2 linked regions of the Lepisosteus oculatus genome follow. The protein of the gene in region 2 purifies or fractionates together with the protein of the main gene of each other region. This does not show direct contact. Links are inferred from orthologs where the notes say so. Each region holds a gene or a part of one and is shown on either strand. Other genes may lie near its edges.

What was found. The genes of interacting proteins can lie anywhere in the genome.
Region 1: the proteins of mettl9 (region 2) and slc39a10 purify together in Homo sapiens (co-immunoprecipitation; 3 studies listed by BioGRID and IntAct, with this or other methods). This does not show direct contact. The link is inferred for Lepisosteus oculatus from reciprocal best matches to the Homo sapiens genes METTL9 and SLC39A10.

Annotation. Positions count from the first base shown.
Region 1 is NC_090707.1:10,323,288-10,328,005, reverse strand, and holds the start of slc39a10 (zinc transporter ZIP10), read left to right. Parts: upstream 1-1,202; 5' UTR 1,203-1,530; intron 1,531-4,718. UniProt on the Homo sapiens protein: Zinc-influx transporter. When associated with SLC39A6, the heterodimer formed by SLC39A10 and SLC39A6 mediates cellular zinc uptake to trigger cells to undergo epithelial-to-mesenchymal transition (EMT).
Region 2 is NC_090714.1:16,660,258-16,664,975, reverse strand, and holds the start of mettl9 (protein-L-histidine N-pros-methyltransferase), read right to left. Parts: upstream 2,969-4,718; 5' UTR 2,878-2,968; intron 2,469-2,877; exon of another isoform or gene 2,320-2,468; intron 2,237-2,319; coding exon 2,081-2,236; intron 1,257-2,080; coding exon 1,066-1,256; intron 722-1,065; exon of another isoform or gene 456-721; coding exon 246-455; exon of another isoform or gene 1-245. UniProt on the Homo sapiens protein: Protein-histidine N-methyltransferase that specifically catalyzes 1-methylhistidine (pros-methylhistidine) methylation of target proteins.

The DNA of each region.
Region 1 (4,718 bases), on a different chromosome or scaffold from region 2:
GAAAGAAATTGTGACCTTGACTACAAATCAACAAGTTTTACAGAGCTCTGTTTCTGACACTTTTTCTTGATAAGAGGTTGACAGCAGACACAGAGGTCAGAAGACAGCAGACACAGCCTATAGTGTCCGAAGTCCAGGATTTGACAGCCCAGCAGGTGTGTTCTACAGCATCTCTTTCATGCTCCTTAATACATGCCTGGATTTCGAATAGTTTTTTTTTAGACAACAGTAGCAAATTGCACTTATACTGTATCTGCAGTTTTTTTCCCCACATTTTGACACTGACATTTTTTTAACGTTTTCAATCTTTTCCCTAAAGACCCAACCTTTCCTCTCTCCTGAAAAAAAAGGAGATCAAAAATATTAAAAAACACTCAACAAAATAGTGACAGAAAACCAGGGTGAGTGAAGACCATCGCTGCTAACGTTCTGGTATTCTGTTTTCTTCGGAAAGACAATATATATAGTTCTGGTAAATACCAGCTCCAGTCCATCCCAGTGCATATCTTTGCTCCCTCCTAGATCTGTTATTGAACTCAATTGACTCGTTAATGATTTTAGCAAGAACTTTCAATGGCCTAAGCCCTGTTATGGTACAAAACATGGGTTTAGACATGGTGGGTGTTGCTGGAAAGTTTTGTTTCTACTGTTCCATTAGAGTCTACTGTAAGTAGGCTATTGGATATGCACGTAGATGTTCGTAATTTCTAATTTGTGTATTGATTTTGAAAAATGCGGTTTCATTTCATCACCAAAATACTTTGAATAGATGTATTTTAGAAATGCAATTCTGGAGGAAAACAAAGTGACAAGGAATTATTTTATTACTGATTATAGGGAAAAGTCGTTTTGATTTCTAACAAGCCCCGGAGGAAATTACGTAGGGAAATGCACAATTTCCTAAACAAATGTTAGGCTTCATCTAACTGTGCCTGCAAAACTAAATCATTGTTAATCCAGACGTAAATAAACCAATGTTTATGTGTTCTATTTTCTTTAAAACAGAGGAATAAACAGATTAAGCAAGGACAGTCTGGTGAAGTTCATTTCAATGACATAATTTCACACGCGGTTGTCAATATTTTCTCCCGATTAACTGGAGAGAGTTTTGACAACTCCCATCTCCTTCCTTTTATGCACTTGGCTTATCTGCCTGCGAAGTTTGCGTATGAATTCAACACAGCTCCGAGCTCACCTGACACTATATTCACAGAAAAACTGGCTTGCCGCTTCCTACTTAGAGGGGCAATGGTGAAATCATGAGCCTGCGTCATGACGTAAAAAAATGCAGAGAGCCGAGTAAGAAGAAAGCCATAACATGTCGCAGGTTCCGTGTGCCTTCCGTACCGCTACGAAGCGTAAATGACGTGAACTGCATTGGGGGAACAATCGGAGAACGCTCTACGAATTTAGCGCACTATCCTTTTGAGAATGCCCAATCCGCATACCCCTGTTGGCCTTTTGTGCGCGGCTGCGGATTGAATTTTTTGGTACCGAGCGAAGAGGAGATGCACACGGCACTCGAGTGAGGTAACTATATAAAAAACCCGATTTGTTTTCATTCGCTCTCATAACACGGAACCGGACAGCTAGTACATAACAACAAAGCTCAAGTGCCGTACTGGAATTAATAAAACACGGGAGTGGTTGAAGTTTTTTTAAGGGGTGTTTATCACAAAATTGCTGTTCGTATTTCTCTTTAGAACGAGATGAAGCCCGTTGAAATCCCGTATTGAATAAGGATGTTTGTGCTTTGGGTTGTTTTTACGCTTAAGCTGGCATCGGCAAAAGCAGTTTTAGCAGAACTGGGTAGCAAAACGGTACTTAAAACATTGGACAGTGGTATTTCAAACAATAGTAAAAAATCGTGTTTGGAAGAAAGGCGACGTTGTCTTTCATCACGTGTTGGTTAATACATGCTGAAGCTCGGCGCTTTAGCTTCCCTAAGTGCGTGTTTTTTCTATATAGAAATGCCACGAAGCGCCTAGTTTGTGCTTATCGTTTAAGTAGAAACAAATATTGATCAATTCCATGTTTTAAACACGTTTTAAATATGGCTAGGTTTTAAACGTCTGATGAGTGCTGTCTTCCTGTTATCACATGCGTTTAGGATGCTGTACTGTATGAGAGTTCAAATGTATATTTTACTACAGCACACGTAGGCGTATACTTTATAAAACCTTTTCAAAATTTTGACGTATGACCGTATGACCCTTTTGCGACAAATTATGTGAAGTCCGAATTTAAAATTGCTTCGAGGTTTCGTAAACTACTAATTCAGACGATTTGTGTCATATTCTTAATTTACTGCCCTTGCATATACATTCTTTCAAACATTAACATGAGTCAATAGCAGTGTCCCCCCGATTTATTCCATTAATTTTGTCCTTAACCTAAAAACCGAGATGAATAACGACTAGCTTCTTAGTGGCTTCCGGTAGGATCCACATTGTGAATTTTATACTGATTACTGAAGCAGGTCTCAAACTGTAAGAAATGTAGCACAAAAGAACGAGAATATATTCAGGGGTATGTGTTGACGTTTTGTATTTTTTGCATTCTGTTACTATTAGAACTAAAAACGTCCAGCATGAGATACAGAAGGGTTACTGGTTTCGGTTCTTCATCTGGTATGAACATTCATTTTGGTTTTGGTGTGATTTTTGTACACGGGGTTTCCATGTGATTAGTACGGTCTTTAAAGTGCTTTTACAGCATTATGAAAATAAGGTTTAAATTTGTGATTTTAATTAAAAAATGTCCAGATGTAGTGCAAAGAAACTACGATATCCTGGATCTTGACATGTCAAAATCCAAGGCTAAAGGTTATTGATTTATAGATCTGTTAGATCTATTGGAGTATATTGACCACTAGTATGATTTGAGTGTTATGAATATGTTTTTTAAACTACAGACAAATTATGATTTATAATTTGTGCTTCACAGTTCTGGGTGTTGTTATGTTTATCCTTACACAGTGATTTTTTATTTTCTTTGATTGTGTTTCTGTACTGCTTTATTTGTAAAGACGTTTTACCAAGGCCATTGGTGTTTCTTGGTGGCTTTGCAAAGTTCCAACATTGAAATCTTTTCTGTCTTAAAAAACGTACTCATCTGAGAAATTGTCCAAATACAGTATTACTACAGTATATTACTTCATGATATCTGTCCTTCCTGTAGGAGTTTACTCTTAAGACAGAGATTTTCTGAGACATTTTTCTGAGATGCTGTTAACTGCAAAATACAAATAAAATATTACTCTTTAGAATTAATTCCAACAAAAACATGTCAAGTGGAAAGCTTAATTCCCTCTCATCTCTTGAACAGCCCACCTTACATGTTATAGTTACAGTATCAGCTCACAAAAAAATAAATTAAATATTTAGGACTTAAGTTCATATAACACTGAAACCCTCCATGTACTTTAGCTTTCATAATTAAAAGAACAAGCTCTTTACAGACTGCCAAGTCATGCATACACTCATGAGGAAAATCTTTTCTGGCTTAATATCAAGATATTTTTTTTTTCCCTTGAAATGATATGCTGCCTAACTCGGACACATTAATGTCAATTAAATTATTGCTGAAAGTCTCAGTCTTGGTGATAAAATCAGTATTACATGGGGTTCAGTTGATGCTGGTGGGTAAAAAGAACAAGATACCACTGGGGAATGCACTGAGATAAGGAGGCATTTTATCAGAAATGTACAGCAGTCTCATCATAGACGAAAGGGTGAAATCTTCCTCTAACTTTTTCCTCCCAGGTAGGTGCAGCAGCGATCTATTCAGAATCCATGCCATTGTGTTGGAATCCACAACAGGGTTGTGGGAGTGTTGGAACAAACTACTCAGACATGTTTTTTAACCCGTTTTCCTTGAAGAAATGAACTACTAACTGCCAAATGGGTTAGATGGGCCCAAAGGCCTCCTCTTCATTTGTGATCTTTCTAGTATTCTTATGTAATGGGTATGACTGTGACTAAAAAGTCTGTACTTTTGGAGTCTTGAAATTTTCTTTCTTGCCTGAGTAGGACAGACTGAGGAGACACCCAGGCAGGGACAGCTTAGGGTCAGAGCGCAGGGTCAGCCATTGTACAGTGCCCCTGGAGCAGCTAGGGATAAGGGCCTTGCTCAGTAGGATTCCTGCCGGCCGTGGGATTTGAACCGGCAACCTTCCAACCACAGACGCAGATCCTTAGCCACAGAGCCACCGCTCCACCCCACATTTGGCACAGCATGCAATCTTCCTTAATTAAAAAAACACTTAAAAAGCAAATATGTATGCAAGTAAAGCCATAAAGCAAGGTCAGAATTACATGATTATCTCCTGCATACATCACATACTTTGTATTTATATTTATCTATTTTTTCCTTTTGTAGGGGGTGTGTTCTTTAGGTTTTAAGGTTTACAATAGAAACAAGTTGTGGGAATGAAAAATAAATGTTTTCTGTGGGTATTGTGAGAGGCGTGTCAGTGTAATGTAAATGCCGATGGACTTTGGAAAGAGACTTCAGAAGGACAAATTAATATTTTATAGGCAAGTTGCACCTTGTTGCTGATAAAGACCATTTTTAGGATTGGTTGAATGGCTTGGCATAATGAGGAAGAAGGAAGTTGCAGTCACTCCATGTGAAGGATATGTACAGTATTAGCTGCTGTAAGCCTGAAACCGTCTGAGAGAACAGTTTTTAATCTATTTATTCTCATTATGCATTTT
Region 2 (4,718 bases):
GACTTGTCACCCAACAGTCCAGCTTGAAGTGTACACACGCCTCTTCCTTCCATCTCTTTCTGCATTATTCCTGAGCTGCCGTTTCAGTCACCGGACCTCTCCAGCTGGCTCTGTACAGCTCGGGTCGAGGCTCGGGGACCCGCCATGGTGACTGCACCGCTCTGTTCCTGAACCAGCTCCTCCCACTGCTCGCCTCACGGCCGACCACAGCCCGAGCTGCCGCGCGGACGGCCACCTGCTCTTACGTGTAGTTCCTCCGCTGCAGCTGCCAGGCCATGGGGGCCGACACCTCGGTGGCGTAGACCTCCTGGAAGTGGGGGCTCATGACCTCGGTGACCCCACCGTCCCCCGCCCCCAGGTCCAGCAGCCTGCGGGCCCTCCACTCCGGGGGGATCCGGAGGAGGCTGCGGAACTGCTCGGCGGAGAACACAAACATGGAGCCGCGGCCCAGGAACCTGGCCAGCGAGAGAGAGCGAGAGAGAGCGAGAGAGAGCGAGAGAGAGCGAGAGAGAGCGAGAGAGACGAGCTGAACCTCTGTCGTCTTGACCAGAGAAGACTGCAAGGGGACCTGATGCCTCAACAAAGCTGTGTGCTGATTGTGTTGTATGAAAATGCCCTGCGATGCGTTCGTGTCGTAAAAAGGTCTGTGCCGATCGTGTCCGGTCTGGCGACACTGTCATTCATCGGTCGTGCCAATAAAGCTGGTTGGATTGAACTGAAACGGAGCGGGAGGCACTTCTTCACCCCAGGGGAGGTGGAGGGGGGGGAGGGGTGGTGTAACGAGCCACACGGCTCAAGCTGGCGAGATCGTGGGTCCTCTGGGAGGGCTAGAGGGGCTCCTCTCGTCTAGAGGCCTTTCTCACGTCCTTAACGGCGAGGAGACAGCGAGCCGGGCAGGGTGGGCATGGCCGGGGTAGAGGGGGCGTGCAGACATGATCCTACACACGGCAGCTTCACAACACTGGAACCCTCAGCCCAGCACAGACACCGCGCCTGGCCAGGAGGGCGACAGGGAGATGGGGGGCGGGGGAGACAGAAGCCCGGCTGGCAGGAGGGCAGACGTACCCGTTGATGGAGGTGCGGGAGAGGAAGGGGCTGAAGAGGGTGGACATGAAGGAGTGGTAGAGCTGCATCAGGAGCCAGCTGGACTTCTCCTCGCTGCGGCTCAGGAAGGCGCGCGTGTCCTCATCCAGGCGGCTCTGAACGAAGGCGGGCCGGAGGGGCTCGCCCAGCAGCTCCGGGCAGCACCGGTACCACTGCGGAGACACCCGGGCCCAGACATCACCAACACGGCGCTGGCTCTCACAGGGCCCGCTCTCGTGCCGGGCACGACACCCCAGAACCCGGCCTGCGGGCCTCGGAGAGCAACAGCTCGGGTCACTGCGTCTGCCTCGCTTCCCAGCACCAGTGCAGCTGGCGCCGTGGAAACACGTCAAGCACGAAACCCTGCGAGTTTTAACACTTGCAAGATTCGAAATTACCGCCGGTGTGCCTTATTTGGCACCTGGCATGACCCTTGTGAACAGGTCCTGTGGCCTGATGAAGCCTCCTGCAGAGCCTGAAAAATCACAGCTTTTCAGAAGTCCCCAGGGGTGACACAGGCACAGGCCTCACAGCCAGGCTTCAGTCTCATTACTGCCCGTAACGCAAGGCTTGTCTTTTGCGTTTGGAGGAGAGGTGTAAACATTCAACCACACTTGGTGGTTGTGCCTCCCTCAGCCTGCTCATTCGAACACTTTCTTCCAATAAATGCATAATAATGAATATATAATGAATCACTGCAACTCCTACATTCCCAATCCCTCTCAAACCTGCTCAAGGGGGCGATTTAAAAATCTGCCAACAACACTGGTTGAAGCCCAACGCCGCCCTACTGGCATCTACTGTTAAAATAAAGCTAAAAAAAAAAATAGGAGTAAAATGAAACTTTACAAGGAAACGCCCAGGGTGTGGATAAACTAAGGAAAACAAAAGTACAACAACATGCACAACTTCACGCAAAGCTTAATTTGCTTAAATTAGCAAACAACTCTCTGCCCCCGTCCCCAGCCCCACATGTAGCCCACTGTCACCCCGGTACCTCCTGAGAGCCGTGCGGTCCCGTTTCGCTGGCCATGTTGACCAGCAGCGCCCTGGCCAGTGGACTCCTCAGGTATCTCCCGGTCCACATTTCCCGTATAACCAGCAGCGAGACGAAGTAAAAGAGCACCCAGACCGCAAACAGCAGCCGCCTCATCTGCAGACAGAAAGCAGACCGAGACTCAAAAACTAGAGTCCTCGACTCCTGCCAGACCTTCCGAGCAAGCAAAGCGTACCGACCTGTACATGCTGTTGGCTTTGAAAGGTGACATGTTGTTACTGGACCCTCCACTTCAACCGTAAACTAACTTGCTCGAATAAACCTTCTTTCAACAAGTAAGCCGGTGAATCTGTTCCACGTTTACTTCCTGTGTCACACTTAATTGCGTCCCCACCCTTTAAAGTTTCAAGTCTTATGCACTCACTGCATGAGCATTAAACGTTTTGCACGCATTTTCAGCGATTTTGTTTTTGCAGAACAGCATTTAAAGAATAAACAAGTTTAGTCTCAGCTGGCATTTTAATTACTACCACTTAGGTATGTTCATGTTATAACTGGAGATTTAATTTCACTTGACAAAAACTTCGACTTGAATAGATTGCGTTCCTACATCTTTACAATATTAATAAAGACCTAAATAATTCAGTTCCCATTAAATCACATGTAATTAAATCACGTTTCCACGAATCCTAGAACCGAAAGCGTCATTTCAGATCGAGTTTTTTTATAGAATTTTATTTTTAAATCTTTCAAACATTCATGAATACAATTAAAATACAAAACCATGAAACACTTACGGCTAAAAAACAGTAAATAAATGCTTTTTATTGTCCATTTCATGAGTTATACTTCTATCATTTCTGCAGGAGTATTGGTTTGATTGCAGAATGACCTTTGTACAGCAGCCCCAACAACAAACTGTATTTAACATAGACTTTCACCGACAGAGGTAGTAAGAGGAACATCCGGCTTCGGGTTAGTACAGGTATATACCGGTCACGTTTATCTTGTTTTATTTCAAGCCGTATTACACTGAAAATCTCAACCCCGAATTAAGATTACGGCTTTAAAAATATGAAGCACAGTGTGGGCAGGAGAATACAGTACAATGCAATGATCGCTCTGCAATGACTACAATGAGCCCCCCTGTGGTGTTGCAGAACACCTTGTTTTTCTCTGCGATAAACCTACACCTTGAAACTCCTCATTGCACACACTACACACGCAGAGCAGGCTGGGCCTCCAAAACTCCACCCGAGTTTGTCTCGTCAGGATCTTACATTTTGGTGGTCATCTTATGTCACCAACGTCTGTGTGTTTTTTTTTAATTAAATATTTTCTGCAGCACCCACTGCAGGTTAGCTCCCAAAATCCCAAGGCAATTATATAGCGAGCGACACAAAATTAAACATTTCCTGCAGAATTCATAATGAATATAGGTATATGTCTTCTGCATGTATTCACAGCTCACAGAATGAACACTAGAATTCATGTTATTGTCCTTACTTGGTACAAAGGAATGGAAGGTCATCATAAAATCTAATCAAATTCTTAAAAGTTTACCCCTATTTTCTGCAATTATACTGCAAATAAAATGAATATTTATCTATTATTTGTAATACAATAACCCTGTAATGATGCAGTGCTGTGTGAATTTGTCAGGCAATGCGATGTTCTGTATTCAAAGCAGCTCTTTTTCCCCTTTTTAAACAGGTTCTTCAATGGCATCTCTCACTGCTCCATTCTTGGTTTTGAGTCGTTTCCTTTCCCAGAGGTTGCTTTCACGGCACCGGACTGCTTGGCTGTTTCTCCTGGCTGGTGTTTTTCTCAGGGATCGCATGGCTCCCTGCTCTTCACACACTGCTGAGCGCTGATCCGCTGCCCCTGGCCTCGCTCGACACACTGGTCTCACTGTTCGTTCGCTCGAGACGACTCTGTAACCTGGGGCCCGGCCACGACTGCGCGGCCCCCCCCCCAGCAGGGACGGAAAAGGCACAGTGCAGGTGCAGCCACAGCCCTCAAAACTACTGGAGGACAGGCTGCTTGTGACCGCGCAGTCAAGAGCTGTGTGGAGAAGCACTTGACTCTTCCACGGGCTTCTTGTGCTTTAGTGCCACACAGCCCACAGAGTTCATGGGGACACGATGGGACCAGACACCAGCATTCAGAATCCTCAAGGGCATCGACAAAGCATTCCCCAGCAGTCACCAAGCAGAGCAGGCAAGTGGAAGCTGTGCAAACTAGTTTAAAACAGAGAACAGGAGCCACCTCTTTACCCAAAAGGTGGTGGGAGTCTGGAACAGGCCAGCCAGCTGTGCTGTTGAGGCCGGTACCCTGGCACCTCTCAAGAAGTGGGTAGACATGATCCTCCAATTAGAACAGGCATCACTTCTTTACTCAAAGGGTTGTAGGAGTGTGGTGCCAGCCACCCCAGCCATCTTGTTGAAGGCAGTACCCTGACTTCTTCCAAGAAACAGCTGGAAGAGATCTTCAGATCAGTTAGCTACTATCAAAAGGGCTAGATGGACCCAACAGCCTCTAGGCTTCTGTAACTTTTTGTACATTCTTATGGTATGCTACACACTGCATTACTTTCATTGGAGGAGCCCAATCCATCAACGTCGAGCTTCTGCTGATC